3 linked regions of the Schizosaccharomyces pombe genome follow. The gene in region 3 interacts genetically with the main gene of each other region. Each region holds a gene or a part of one and is shown on either strand. Other genes may lie near its edges.

What was found. A genetic interaction does not mean that the proteins touch.
Region 1: mutations in SPOM_SPAC22A12.14C (region 3) and pca1 together harm fitness less than expected from each alone (positive genetic interaction), as found in Schizosaccharomyces pombe (one large-scale study listed by BioGRID).
Region 2: mutations in SPOM_SPAC22A12.14C (region 3) and set5 together harm fitness less than expected from each alone (positive genetic interaction), as found in Schizosaccharomyces pombe (one large-scale study listed by BioGRID).

The regions. Positions count from the first base shown.
Region 1 is NC_003421.2:2,262,042-2,267,866, reverse strand, and holds pca1 (metacaspase Pca1), read right to left. Parts: upstream 3,901-5,825; coding exon 3,447-3,900; exon of another isoform or gene 3,401-3,446; coding exon 3,341-3,400; exon of another isoform or gene 3,300-3,340; coding exon 3,202-3,299; exon of another isoform or gene 3,175-3,201; intron 3,156-3,174; coding exon 3,132-3,155; intron 3,092-3,131; coding exon 2,923-3,091; intron 2,884-2,922; coding exon 2,411-2,883; 3' UTR 2,210-2,410; coding exon of another isoform or gene 597-2,209; 3' UTR 562-596; downstream 1-561. Other genes in the region: pgm2 (phosphoglucomutase), read left to right, coding at 60-159, 597-2,209; karyopherin/importin beta family nuclear import signal receptor Sal3, read right to left, coding at 4,298-5,825. UniProt on the Schizosaccharomyces pombe protein: Involved in cell death (apoptosis).
Region 2 is NC_003421.2:2,034,051-2,037,554, reverse strand, and holds set5 (histone lysine methyltransferase Set5), read right to left. Parts: upstream 1,877-3,504; 5' UTR 1,795-1,876; coding exon 835-1,794; 3' UTR 562-834; downstream 1-561. UniProt on the Schizosaccharomyces pombe protein: Histone methyltransferase that monomethylates 'Lys-5', 'Lys-8' and 'Lys-12' of histone H4 (H4K5me1, H4K8me1 and H4K12me1, respectively), thereby controlling gene expression and remodeling chromatin structures.
Region 3 is NC_003424.3:1,180,438-1,184,154, forward strand, and holds SPOM_SPAC22A12.14C (BSD domain-containing protein), read right to left. Parts: upstream 2,028-3,717; 5' UTR 1,935-2,027; coding exon 1,836-1,934; exon of another isoform or gene 1,781-1,835; coding exon 1,730-1,780; exon of another isoform or gene 1,686-1,729; coding exon 792-1,685; 3' UTR 562-791; downstream 1-561. Other genes in the region: mug84 (pig-P phosphatidylinositol N-acetylglucosaminyltransferase subunit), read left to right, coding at 1-404; bip1 (ER heat shock protein BiP), read right to left, coding at 2,875-3,717.

The DNA of each region.
Region 1 (5,825 bases), on a different chromosome or scaffold from region 3:
AGTATTAGGACTATATTTACTATGGAAGTACTGTGGAACTAACAGATTGAACGCATTAGGATGAAACTACGAGGAATGAAGTTTCACAATTGATTAAGGCTGAAGATTATGCCACCCTCAAGCAAATTATGCATCCAAGGATTGGATTTGGTACATCTGGTATGTTTTTATTACAAAAGAAGAAAAAATTGAGATTGTTAAGAGATATTTCGCAAGTTGAAGTGGATTGAAAGAGAACGCTAAATAATGCCTCTTTCTTAATAAAGAATTCTCAGTGCTACAGCCGGTAGCTTAAACTACTTTATTGTGTTTTCCTTGATTAGAGTCGAAGTGATATACTTGATCATCGGTCACTTTCCTTACTGCGTATACTAATTTATTGTGATGATCATATTGGTCATATTTCAGAAAGAGTTTTTCGTTCTTCTTCTTCTTTTCTATCTGTTTTGGTCTTTTTTGCTTGGAATGTTATATAACGTGCTTGTACGAAATTGGTTTAAGTGTAATTAGATTTTCAGCTTGCGATTGTTCTCTCTATACATCTTAATGTTTTAACATTATCAAGTTCGTTTATTCATTTACTAATGTTTACAAAGGTTTGAGAGCTGAAATTGGTGCTGGCTTCGCTCGCATGAACTGTTTGACCGTGATTCAAGCCTCACAAGGCTTCGCTGAGTATTTGCTTCAAACCGTACCATCAGCTGCAAAGCTGGGTGTGGTAATTGGACACGATCATAGGCATAAGTCTAATACTTTTGCTCGACTTACTGCTGCAGTGTTCTTGCAAAAAGGATTCAAAACGTATTTCTTCGATCATCTTGTCCATACCCCTTTAGTCCCTTTTGCCGTTAAAACCCTAGGGACTGCAGCTGGTGTTATGATTACTGCTTCCCATAATCCCGCAGCTTATAACGGATACAAGGTCTATTGGGGAAACGGTTGTGCTATCATTCCTCCCCATGACAAGGGAATTGCTGCATGTATAGAAAAAAACTTAACGCCCATTACTTGGGACAAAAATTTGGTTGAAAATCATAAACTAGCAGATCGGGATTTTGCAGTTGGTCTTTTAAAAAACTATTGGTCTCAGCTCCACGAATTCCATTCCGAAAACAACTTTTCCTTGGAAATGAAATCTTTGAAATTTGTTTACACTCCTATTCATGGCGTTGGATTACCATTTGTTACTTCAGCATTACACTTATTTGGCGAACAAGGCGATATGATTTCTGTACCTCTTCAAGATTCTCCAAACCCTGACTTTCCGACTGTGAAATTTCCAAATCCAGAAGAGGAGGGGGCATTGGATTTGGCTTACGAGCAAGCTGATGCTAATGGTATTTCGTATGTCCTTGCAACTGATCCTGACGCAGATCGTTTCGCCTTTGCAGAAAAAATTAATGGTGCTTGGAGAAGATTTACCGGAGATGAAGTTGGTTGTATCCTTGCCTATTTTATATTTCAAGAATACAAAAACGTTGGAAAGCCAATTGATGATTTTTACGTTTTGTCAACTACTGTCTCTAGTGCTATGGTAAAGTCCATGGCCAAAGTAGAAGGATTCCATCATGTTGAAACACTTACTGGATTTAAGTGGTTAGGCAATAAAGCATTAGAATTGGAAAAACAAGGGAAATTTATTGGATTGGCATATGAAGAAGCTCTTGGTTATATGGTAGGTAGTATAGTTAGAGACAAAGACGGGGTTAATGCTTTGATTACGTTCCTTCATCTTTTGAAACGCCTTCAACTTCAGAATCTTTCAATTACCGAGGTTTTTGAGCAAATGTCTAAAAAATATGGTTATTACACTACGCAAAACTCATATTTCCTTTCACGCGACACTCCCAAGCTTCGTGCTTTGGTTGATGCCTTGAGACATTATGACACAAAATCGGGTTATCCGGCAACCCTTGGTAGTAAGAAAATTACAAATGTTCGCGACCTTACTACAGGTTACGACTCAAGCTCCACGGATGGTAAAGCTACTTTACCAGTTTCAAAAAGTTCAGATAACGTAACGTTTGAGCTTGAAAATGGAGAGGTAATTATGACTATTCGCACAAGTGGTACAGAGCCGAAACTTAAGTTTTATATCTGTGCTCGCGGACATTCGCTTGAAGATTCCATAAAGAATGCTACAGAAGTTAAACAGGCTATCAAATCTGAATGGTTTCATCCCCAACAGAACGGACTGGAAGAGCCATGAGTTTTCTCGCGTGTATAATTTTAATTTGAGCTCGTTTTTTAAGCAAAATTATAAATTGCAAACAAAAATATTTCAATAAAGTATTAGATATGATTTCCTGAGTTGTTGTGATTTAAATTTTATCCTTAATTGAAAATTCCTTAAATATCTGATGGAACTACAAAAATATAGAACTTCAATGATCAAGTAATGTTTAGTGTACTATAAAACCATGGCAAGATTCATGTCTAAAGGATGACTACAACTTAATTGGGGCAGTTGTGAGTATTTGTTGGAAAGTACTTGTCGAATACCTCTCAGCAACTGCAAGTAGCTAAGTTGGGGATTTTGAGTGACGACTTCACGGAAGGCGTATGATAAAGCACCAGTAGCGAATCCATTAACACTTGTATCTGCGCTTGTTTGATTATCTTTGCATCCGGATAAAGAAATAACATCAGCAGGAGAAAACTTAACTTGTCTAGAGTACTGTAGAGCGTTGTTATTAAATCCATTGGTAGCACTGGTAAATATATTTTTCACGTTGTTGATAGCTCCCATAATGTCGCCAGAGGCATAAGAAAGGCCAGCATGAAGTACATCCATACCAGATTCTTTTAACATATTTGGCTCCTTTAGAACGCCCTTGGTAGAGTACGTGAAAGGAAGATCGAGAGCTCCACCTGAATGACAAGCTATATTTTGTTAAAAATAGATTAAAATCACTGACTTACAGTCAAAGAGAGCTGTTAAACGACATCCTGCTGGTAAAGGCTTAACCATTATTTCGTGCATTTCATCATCTATAATTTGCCCGGCATATTGATGGTCCAGTGGATATATCGTTTCATCATAACCATCAACTTCGTCTCCATCAAGGTCTTTTGTTTGCCCTCCGTGGCCCTATGCATGTGAGTATGAGATGTAAAGTGATGATTCTTACACTATAGTGAAAAAATAATGCATCCTAAATAGTTAGCATTAGGAAGTAAATCCCATGACATATAACTTACATTAGGTTGGGCATCACTTACTAACCATCTCATCGCATCTAACATATTTTGACGAGTGGGAATTGCCCTTTGGTTGCTTGCCGTGTCTGTCATAATAACTAAAAAAGTTTTAGCAAGATGTTCTCGTAATCAACCATACCCATATCTTCTTGCTTGTAACCGTAGCGCTGTATCAGCAGTTGGGACATAGACATGACATCTTAAACAAGTTAATATATGTTTACTTGACCTTTCGCATTCCGTACCATTAATGCAACCTTGCAACTCATTTTGGGTATTGAGATAGTTAATTCCGATCAGCAAAGCCTTTCGCTTCCCTTGGCAAGTTGAATACTGATACTGAAAGTTTCCTCCTCCTGCTAAGTTATAAGATTGAGTCTGAGTGTTTGGCAGCTGAGGCCCACTATAATTTGGGTTGCCATAAGAATTAGCACCAGTATTCGGAGGCGGACCTGAGGGTGGGGCATAAGCATGGGAGTTTGCAGAGCTCAAACTTATATGACCAACATTCTCCATAGGGATTTGATTAGAATTGCCGTCTGTCTGAGGCCTTGTGGAAGGGGGTGGCATACGTGGAGGCTGATATTGATGTACAGTGTTATTACTTTGAGAACCATTATTTGGTGAATAATTAGGTCTAGTATATGTATTATATGGTGGATATTGCCCACCGTTATAAGGATTGGAGTTGTAGCTCATGTTGATGGGAAGTTGGATAGTGCTTAACTATGCTACTTTCAATAAAATACCAGATCTCACAGGTTATAACTAAAGCAAAATCAATTTGACTACAGTATATACATTTAAAAAAAAAATTAATTGCAAAAGATGCGAGCAATATATTATAATCATACCACACATCAAAACGTATTATACACGAAAGAGCTGCTACACGAAGAAATAATTTAATACGATGAAAAATCAAGTAATGTATAAAGCAATAAGTGAAAACCTAGCCGGCATAGTCTAAAAAGAGTGAAACAAAATCCGAAGATTGTTGATGGATTAAATAAAAACCTAACCTAACCTAAACTAACTAAAGCATTTTGAGGAACCAAAGAAAATATTGAAAGACTTAGAGTGAAAGAAATGAAATTTAAAAATGTGCAGACAAAGCTCTCTGATTATCGACACTCAAAGTGGCAATGACAGAATTAACTTGATCAGCAGGGAAACGAGCTAAGTAAACCTTCGAAGCTTCCATCAAACGTGTCAAAGTTCTTCCACGTAAAACTCCAGATGCAAATGTTTCTGCTAAAATCGTAATAATCGTTGGCATTTGTGAGGCAACGGCCACGTGATTTTGTTCCATCAATTCCGCAAGGAAAGTGTAAGCATAAGGAGCGTCATCTTCATCATGTGTTACAGGAAGTGTATTAATCCAATACGTTACAACTTTGTCAAGATCCTGAACACGTTGGCTACAAAAGCGGCAAATTTTGCATATCGCAACACAAATATTTTCTGTGGCATAAATTTGTTCTTCATCACGGGCATCAGGAAGCTCGAGCATCTTAAACAATGCGGGCAAAGCACTAGAGCAGATTTCAGCATACAACTCTCCTCCATGCTGAGCGGCTACTCCAATACCGTACGAGGCAGCTTGTCGAATTTCTGGTTCGCTACTTTGAATACCTTCAGCTAAGTAAGGCAAAAAGTGATCCTTGTAGTTCCAAGAATCGGGTCCAGTAAATTCAATTAAGTCATCCATCATGCATAGAGCCCATTGCTTAGCTACAGTGTCGTTTCCAGACAAAAAGCCATCCATGTACGGTAGTAGCCTTTCCCAAAAAGGGCAGAAAGCAGTTTTGTGAATTTTTAATACAACACTAAAAGTCTTGTTTATTTCGTTTAACAAGTTTTGATCATTTTCGACTGCAAGAATCATGTCCTCATCTTCTTCAATATCTATGTCACCATTTTTAGCCTCCTCCTCACGCTGCTGCACGCGAGAAATGAATCCTTTGAGCTGCAAATCAACGGCAGCAACGAGTGCTTCCATCGAAGAAGGACTCAGATTCAAGCCGCTGATTTCCAAACTTTGATAGAAACATTCAAAATAGTCGGCAAGCATTTCCACGCTTGGTTCATTTTGTATATGATCCAACAGCTTTCGTAAAATAGGCTCCCAAAGCTCATTGACTTTAGCTGGATCACGATTGCTAGCTAAAATCCGAGCGTTCAATAACTGAGGAATACACTTACAACAAGCAGAACGAACCCCGTCGTGAAAGAAGAACTTCAATCCTGGAAGTACAACAGATGTCAAAACTTCATTGACGTAAGGATCAAAGTCAGCTTTTAACTCAGCAGCATAGCAGACAAGCATTTCGGTGGCAGTACACTTGTCTTCTAACGTACTAGTCCTAATACCAACCTGTTGACCATGAACGGGAATGAACTCCCAACCATCTTGTTCAGAATATTTGCTTTCATCAACCTCGTCGTCTATAATTGTGAAGTCAGGTTTCGAGGTAGCAGCAACCAACAGAGGAGGCATAACTGAACTCAAAAATGGGACAAAATCGCTTCCTAAAACACGGCAAATTCTTCCCCAGGCAGAGATGAGATAACTAGCTTGAGGATCATCACTGTCAGTAATACCCATTTGAATGTTACCTAAA
Region 2 (3,504 bases), on a different chromosome or scaffold from region 3:
AAATAGATAGAATCAACATATCAGTTTTGTATTAGAACATTTTGATACACGTTTCATGATTCATTTATCCAATATAGTTTTAGTAGAATGATATTCATTTTAGTAGATAATCTAAAAAAGCAAATATTAAACTGCATCAGCCGGGAGTCGAACCCGGAGCTAATGCTTGGAAGGCATTGATGTTACCGCTACACCACTGATGCATTTATTATTTAGAGGTTAAAGAATATGTTATATATTGTTACAAAAGCAGTGTCTTAAGAATGTGTATAATTCTGAAGAAATTTTTTGTTGTTTTGAATAATAAGGAATATTTGGTTTATTGATTTACTGGTTCTATTTGTGAATCGGCTTTTGCTCAAAATACCGAATCTATTTTTTGGATATTTTAAAAAAATCAGCAAACATGCACCAAATGCTTAAATCTCTTCAACAATAATGTTTACAACTCGATAGGAAGTGATTACTCAATACTGCAAACCCTTCTTATAAATTTCTTTTATAAATACCTTTTGTATGAATTAAATCAGTACTCACTTCTATGCTAAATACTGAATATTCTCCATATTAAAATATTCTCAATCATTTACAATTCATGCCAAACCCCAATAGGTTTCTAAATTTTTTATTTATAAAAAAGAAAGGAGATACAAAAACTCTAGGATCTCAGGAAGATAGTTTCAATTTCAGGTTTTTATCATCCATAAAAGTTTTATAATTTTTCAATAGAATAAATACAATCCCAAGCTCATCAAACTAAAAGTTAAGACGAGCATTAACAATACATGCCCAATTTTCCAATAAAAACAAAAACAGTAGTTTTTTACCCCATGCTTAATCAGTATCACTATAAACATCTTCTTCAAGCTTACATCCCCATAAATTATCTTCCAAATCCGATAGTTCATCATCCTCTTCTAAAAATAATGGTAGAGCAGGCACTCCTTCAGCAAGAGCATGACTTCGTGGGTTCTCTACATACTTGGAAATTTTCAAATATTTTTCAGAATCAGTTCCTTCATACAAACTAATTGCTTTAGTCCCCTTTTTTGCAAAAATACTGGCTCTCTCAAAATCACCGTGGATGACACATAATCGGAAGGCATCCAGAAGTGCAATTATATCTAACCGACCGAAAAGAAGCTCTTCGTGGGCAATGTGTATCCTATGTCTCAATGCTCTTAGAGCACCTCTTGGATTAACTATACACATTTTTGCCATGGTTCGGTCATAGTAGGCCAGTTGCTTTCTCCTTAAATCGCTGATTTTCCTAATCTTTCGTTCCTCTACAGAGCAAACACTACAATAACATTTAAATCCAAAATGCTCGAGCAATATTTTTTGTCTTTCCGTATGTGATTTATGTAAGTCTATATATGTCGTAAGTATTTCCTCGCCAGCCTCGATGTCGCGAACAGCATGAACCGTAACCTGATCAAGTCTAGGATTCCACGTATGTTTCACGTTAGGACTACAATCGTGATTCATTCGAGAACCAAGTAAAAACATTCCACCCTTTGTCTCATCAATGGTCAGCGCATTGGAATAAAATGGCCCAAGGAATGGTCCCATAGTGTCTGGATGAGCGTTGAAAAGTCTATGAAAAGCTTCCTGTTCTTCTTTTGTTTTTGTAGACAGTGCTTCCTCGATTTCCTTAGCGTCACTTTTTGTCCTTATCAAAGGCGTTTCTGCAAAAATTCTTGTACCGACGGGGATTTTTACTTTTGCAATCATACCCATTCCTTTGTTAGGAATGGGGACAACTTTATAAATCTCTGTTTCATACGGGTTCATGTAGTACGATTAAGCAATACATTAACGCATGGACGCTTAAAGTTTTCAAAGTTTGGAGATTTTGGTGGTTACGAAATACGCTGCAAAAAATAGAGAAAAAGAATCCAATATATATGGATAAAGCTGAAAATAGTTCTTTACTATTTACTCCAATATTTCTTTTTCTTTTATTGTACTTTTAACCCCAATTGGTTATATCACAATTTGTTTTTCCCAAGAGATCTGTCAATTTTCAAAAAAAAAAAAAAAAGAAAAGGAATATAATTCGAATTTCAAAATGTTCAGAGTGTTATGGCATTTTAAATATATTCCTAAATTTATTATTAATTATAGCAATTTGTTTATATTTTATTGTCAAGGATCTTGAATTAATCATAAACTTTGTCATCATATTTTTTTATAAAATCCTTCGTACAAGAAAAATGTAGATTGGCAATTGACGAAACAAAAGCTCCATTTCTTACCGTATCAAAGATATCAAAACACGTAATTAAAATGGTTTAAAAAATCCTTCAAACGATGGTTTAGCATTACCAAAAAATATAATCGCAAGTTTGTGATTAAGCTTAGATTGAAATCCTAGAATTTATTGGTATGTTGATACCTGAAACAGCTTCTGCATTACATTATTATTATTATTTTTTAGATTTAAAAAATAAATGTCAAACTATCATGAAAAAGTACCTAAAATGAAATAAAAGGATGCGCATTATTCGATATGCATGTGGAATTGGTATACTAAAACTTAGAGAATTACTGAACTCAAGAGCAAAATCTTGCTATGGCCAGTTCTTCATAACACAGTACTTTATATGTAGATATTGTTTGAAACGAAAATTGTAAATGTCACTTCGGTTAATGTAAGTTAAATCACTTAAAAGAAACTGTACCAGAGTTTTTGAGATTTAGGATTTGAAGGGTAAACTAGAAATAATTTGATTTATTATAATATTCGGCATTTCCGTACCTTGTCAATGTGTGAATTATGTGCATAGGTATTTCGTAGGGTGAACAAAATGAAACTTGACCAATGTGCCCCATTTCAGACCTTGACAAAATGAATGAAAGTTTTAAGATCAGAGATACTTTTTCACTATAAAATTCTTCATGTCAAGGATTATTATAATCTCACTCTTTCTTACTCGGCGTCGATGATTTTCGGTTCAATAAAAAAAAACAAATTGTTGATTAAAAAGGAATAATAAAAAAGAACGAATCTTATTCTAACTCGCCTACATTTGTTATTATTTACCTACTTTTTTTCTGATATTTACTACTACATGCCCTTTTCAATAATTTGGTAACTCAAGTCACATGTTACTTCGATAACTTTTATGAAATTGTCTTCGTTCATCTTCAACCATTAGTCCCTTACGACTTAGTTGATGAATTTTACTTGAAGTTTACGATACTATTTAATTAGTAAATTTTTCAATCAATAGGAAAAACAAGAAGTTTTCTTATGGAAATGATAATATAGTTACAACTTGACTGACGGCATACTCCTTTCTGTATAAAAAACATAGTTAAGGTCTATTGATAGAATTTTTAATGTGTTTATGATAATATTTTTATTTATTAAAGCGAAATCGAGTTATTAACTTCCTTTTTTGTTCTGATTCACTGTTCTTTTGCATCTAAAATTAAATTTCTTTAAACTCCTTTCGCCGGAAGAAATTCAATCCCTTCGAGAACTATTTGCTTTCAAAT
Region 3 (3,717 bases):
GAACTGCCATTGCAGAAATTGATCAACAAGATTGGGATATAATGGTAAAAGTTCCTACTTATGAGTATTACGGGTTCGTGATGTATTTGGTGTCAATGTTGGGGTTCGGCGTGTATATTGTTTGGGCTCTGACGCCTGCGCCTGTTCTCAAATTTTTTGAGATTCATTATTATCTATCTCGTTGGTGGGCTCTAGCTATTCCTACTTGGTTATTTGTTCTTGTTATTTACATTCACGTTGTGCTAAACGCTTACAATACCGAAGTATTGACTAAGCCATTTAGCAGCTTAGAATGTATCGTTGATCAATACGCACTCGTTGGTGAAGAAGATGGTGCTGCTCATGGTCGAGTTGTTGATCTTCGCCTATGTGATGTGAATAAACAACAACTGGAAGAAACTTAAAAAAGACTAAAAGCAGCTAAGTGATATCAGAATTCATTTTCTCCTTAAAAATCTTCATTATTTAAGGGACTTATTATCTATTGATGTCGTCGACCCATACAGATTTACTTTTAAATCCTGGTTTCCTTAAGTTTCACAATCAAAAAGTATATGTAAATGTATAATATTATAAGAAGGTTGATTAATGCTCTAGTCCTACTACTCCAACCTGCATACTCAAGATTAGATGTTTTTTATATTCCGCTAATAATATACCTAAGAGTTGTTCGTAAACAAAATGTTTTCAGACAAATAATTAGCTATACGAACAAAACACACCAAAACAAGTAAATGAATAGAAGAGAAGTAAAAACAGTATATCTCTTTTTAATAGTTTGACGAGAGTCGTTATTCCCAGTCATCATCGTCTTCATCATCGTCATCAACTTTTCTATTTGCTTCATCCTTCACCTCAAGAGAACTTTGAGAAGCTTCTATATTACTGGAAGATGATACTTTATTTTCCTCTTCTTCTTTAACTTCTCCATCAACCTCTCCATCATGGCTTGCGGGTTGAGTTTCAATTTGTAAGCCTTTTGAAACTGCTGACTCCAAATCATTGACGGTTTCATCTATCACTTCAGCTGCTGAATTATTCTCAGTAGTATCTTCTTCACTTGATTGCTTTTTTTCATCATTAACCTGTTCATTGTCACTTTCTTCTTCATCACTTCTTTCATCTCCCCAACTAAAAATTTCTTCTTCATCGTTTCCTGATTGAATTGCCTTTATCGGCTGTACAACCTCTTTATGCCAAAAAAATCGTTTCCAAAAATCATCATAAGAAACTTCAGAAGGTACTAAAGATTCCATCTGTTTCCTTAAATCAGGATATTCTTCCAAAAGTAAAGAGATCTCTTCAGTTTTCCCATCAATGGAAATTTCTTTTTCCCAGCTTTCAAACGTGATCCCATGAGAGGGTTCAGAGATAATTTGGGTAAAAGTATTTTCGTTTTGAACAAGTTCCAACAACTGTCTCTCGTGGCGATTTAAGAAAACAGACGAAGAGGCTTCGTGTGTAGGAGTCGATACATCGTCTTCTTTGGGTGATATCTGCAATGCTTGATCCAAAAAACCATTCACTGTAGATCCGAAGCCACTCCAGAAACTTCCTGCTGTTTCTTCTACTTTTCGCAAGTTTTCCATAGCAGAATTAACAGGTATATTTTCTTCAAGCTGTGATTTTAATTGCTGCATTCCACTTGAGGCTTTTCCCTTTGTATCATCAAGAAAGTTTTCACTCTTTGAACGGTTAGTAACAATGCCATTATTCGCAATCAACACACCTTTTCTTTCATTGAGTTCCAAAACAAACCAAACTTTCCATTCGTCAGATTCTGTATAAAATGTCAGTAAATTCCGCGCCGTAAATCATCATAAAGGATAAATTACATTTAGAGCCGAACCCATTTCTTCTTTCAGTTTTTCGTATCCCTCTTCATCATCTTCTTCTGTAGTGGTTGTAGGTGCCATATAATCGTACAAATCCATTTTGAATAGTTTAAAAGAAAACTTATGTACTTAGTTGTTAGAATAAGCTCACATGTGTTTGGTAGCAAACAAGCTATATATGTTGTACTTGGCAGCAAGTGAAGATATTGTATAGCCTACCGAATAGTGACACGATTATGCTCGTATTCTGACTATGGACACTTATACTAACTTAGTATACTTCCAATAATACTTTTTAATGAAAAAGGCATTACACAATCCACTACAGCTTATTTTCGTCCAAAAAACAAATTCTAAGTTTTTGAAGTAAAGCAATTTTAAAATATACACAACACCATAAAATTTCACCACTTTGCACTTCGACTTAATCAAATGAGATGTTTTAATAAATAGAATACTTTTAAAACTATATATAAAAAAGCTGCTACTCACAAACTCAGGTAAGTATAAACACTAAGATAAAAGAACGATTGTATTTATAATAAAAGGAATTAGTACCCAATGCTATAAAATTTGATAAACATACAGGGTCTTTATGATTAACTACCAATTATTGTCAGTTCCACAAAGCCATTAGCAGAAGTAAGCAATACAAAGATAACAAAGCACCAGTTAACTAGGTGTTGACATACAACTTTGTTAATGGCTATAGAGTCACGATTCTGGTAGATAAAGTAAAATGCACTTTATATCAGGTCTATTTTGGAGACATAATACCATTTTAATCATACTCAAGACGTTCAACAATGAAAGAGAAACACTCATTTCAAGATAGCAGAAACAGCTCGAGAAGCTATCAAAATGATAACGCCATCAGACCACATTAATAATCATGAGAAAACATTTTGGGTTTCCAAATAACCCTTTAGATTAAGGTCATGAAACAATGAGAGCATCGAGTCAGACTTGCGTATACTTCGACATAAATAAAATACTAAGTAAAGCTTAAAAATGAAAGTACAGGCAATTTTAAAACACTTTAAAGTTCATCGGCCTCATCATCGAAGTAATCATCATCCTCTTCATCAGCATCACCAGCTCCTTCGGAATACAACTTTTGGGTAATAGGATGAACAACGGCATCGAGTTTTTGACGCTGATCTTCAAATTCTTCCTTGCTGGCATCTTCTCCGTGGATTTCAAGCCATTCAGCAACATCTTCGACAGCGTCCAAAACAGCTTGCTTATCTTCGGGATCAACCTTACCACCTAATTGCTCATCATCGTCAAATTGACCTTTCAAAGAATAGGCGTAGTTTTCAAGAGTATTACGAGCTTCAATACGCTCCTTCAAAATCTTATCTTCTTCAGCGAATTCTTCGGCCTCCTTAACCATGCGCTCGATATCTTCCTCAGACAAACGACCTTTGTCATTCTTGATAACAAGCTTCTCAGGCTTACCCTTACCAGACTTGTCGACGGCTGAAACAGTCAAAACACCATTGGCATCGACTTCAAACGTGACTTCAATTTGGGGAACACCACGAGGGGCAGGAGGAATACCACGAAGGTCAAATTTTCCAAGAAGGTTGTTGTCCTTAGTAAGAGTACGTTCACCTTCATAGACTTGAATTAAAACAGTATTTTGATTGTCAACCGCAGTAGAGAAAATTTGCGACTTACGAGTAGGAATAGGAGTGTTACGACCGATAAGTTTAGTCATAACACCACCGGTAGTCTCAATACCTAAAGTAAGAGGGATAACGTCCAAGAGGACAATGTTATCACTTCCTTCCTCGCCAGATAAAACGCCGGCTTGAACAGCAGCACCATAGGCAACAGCCTCATCGGGATTGATACCCTTAGAAGCCTTCTTACCAAA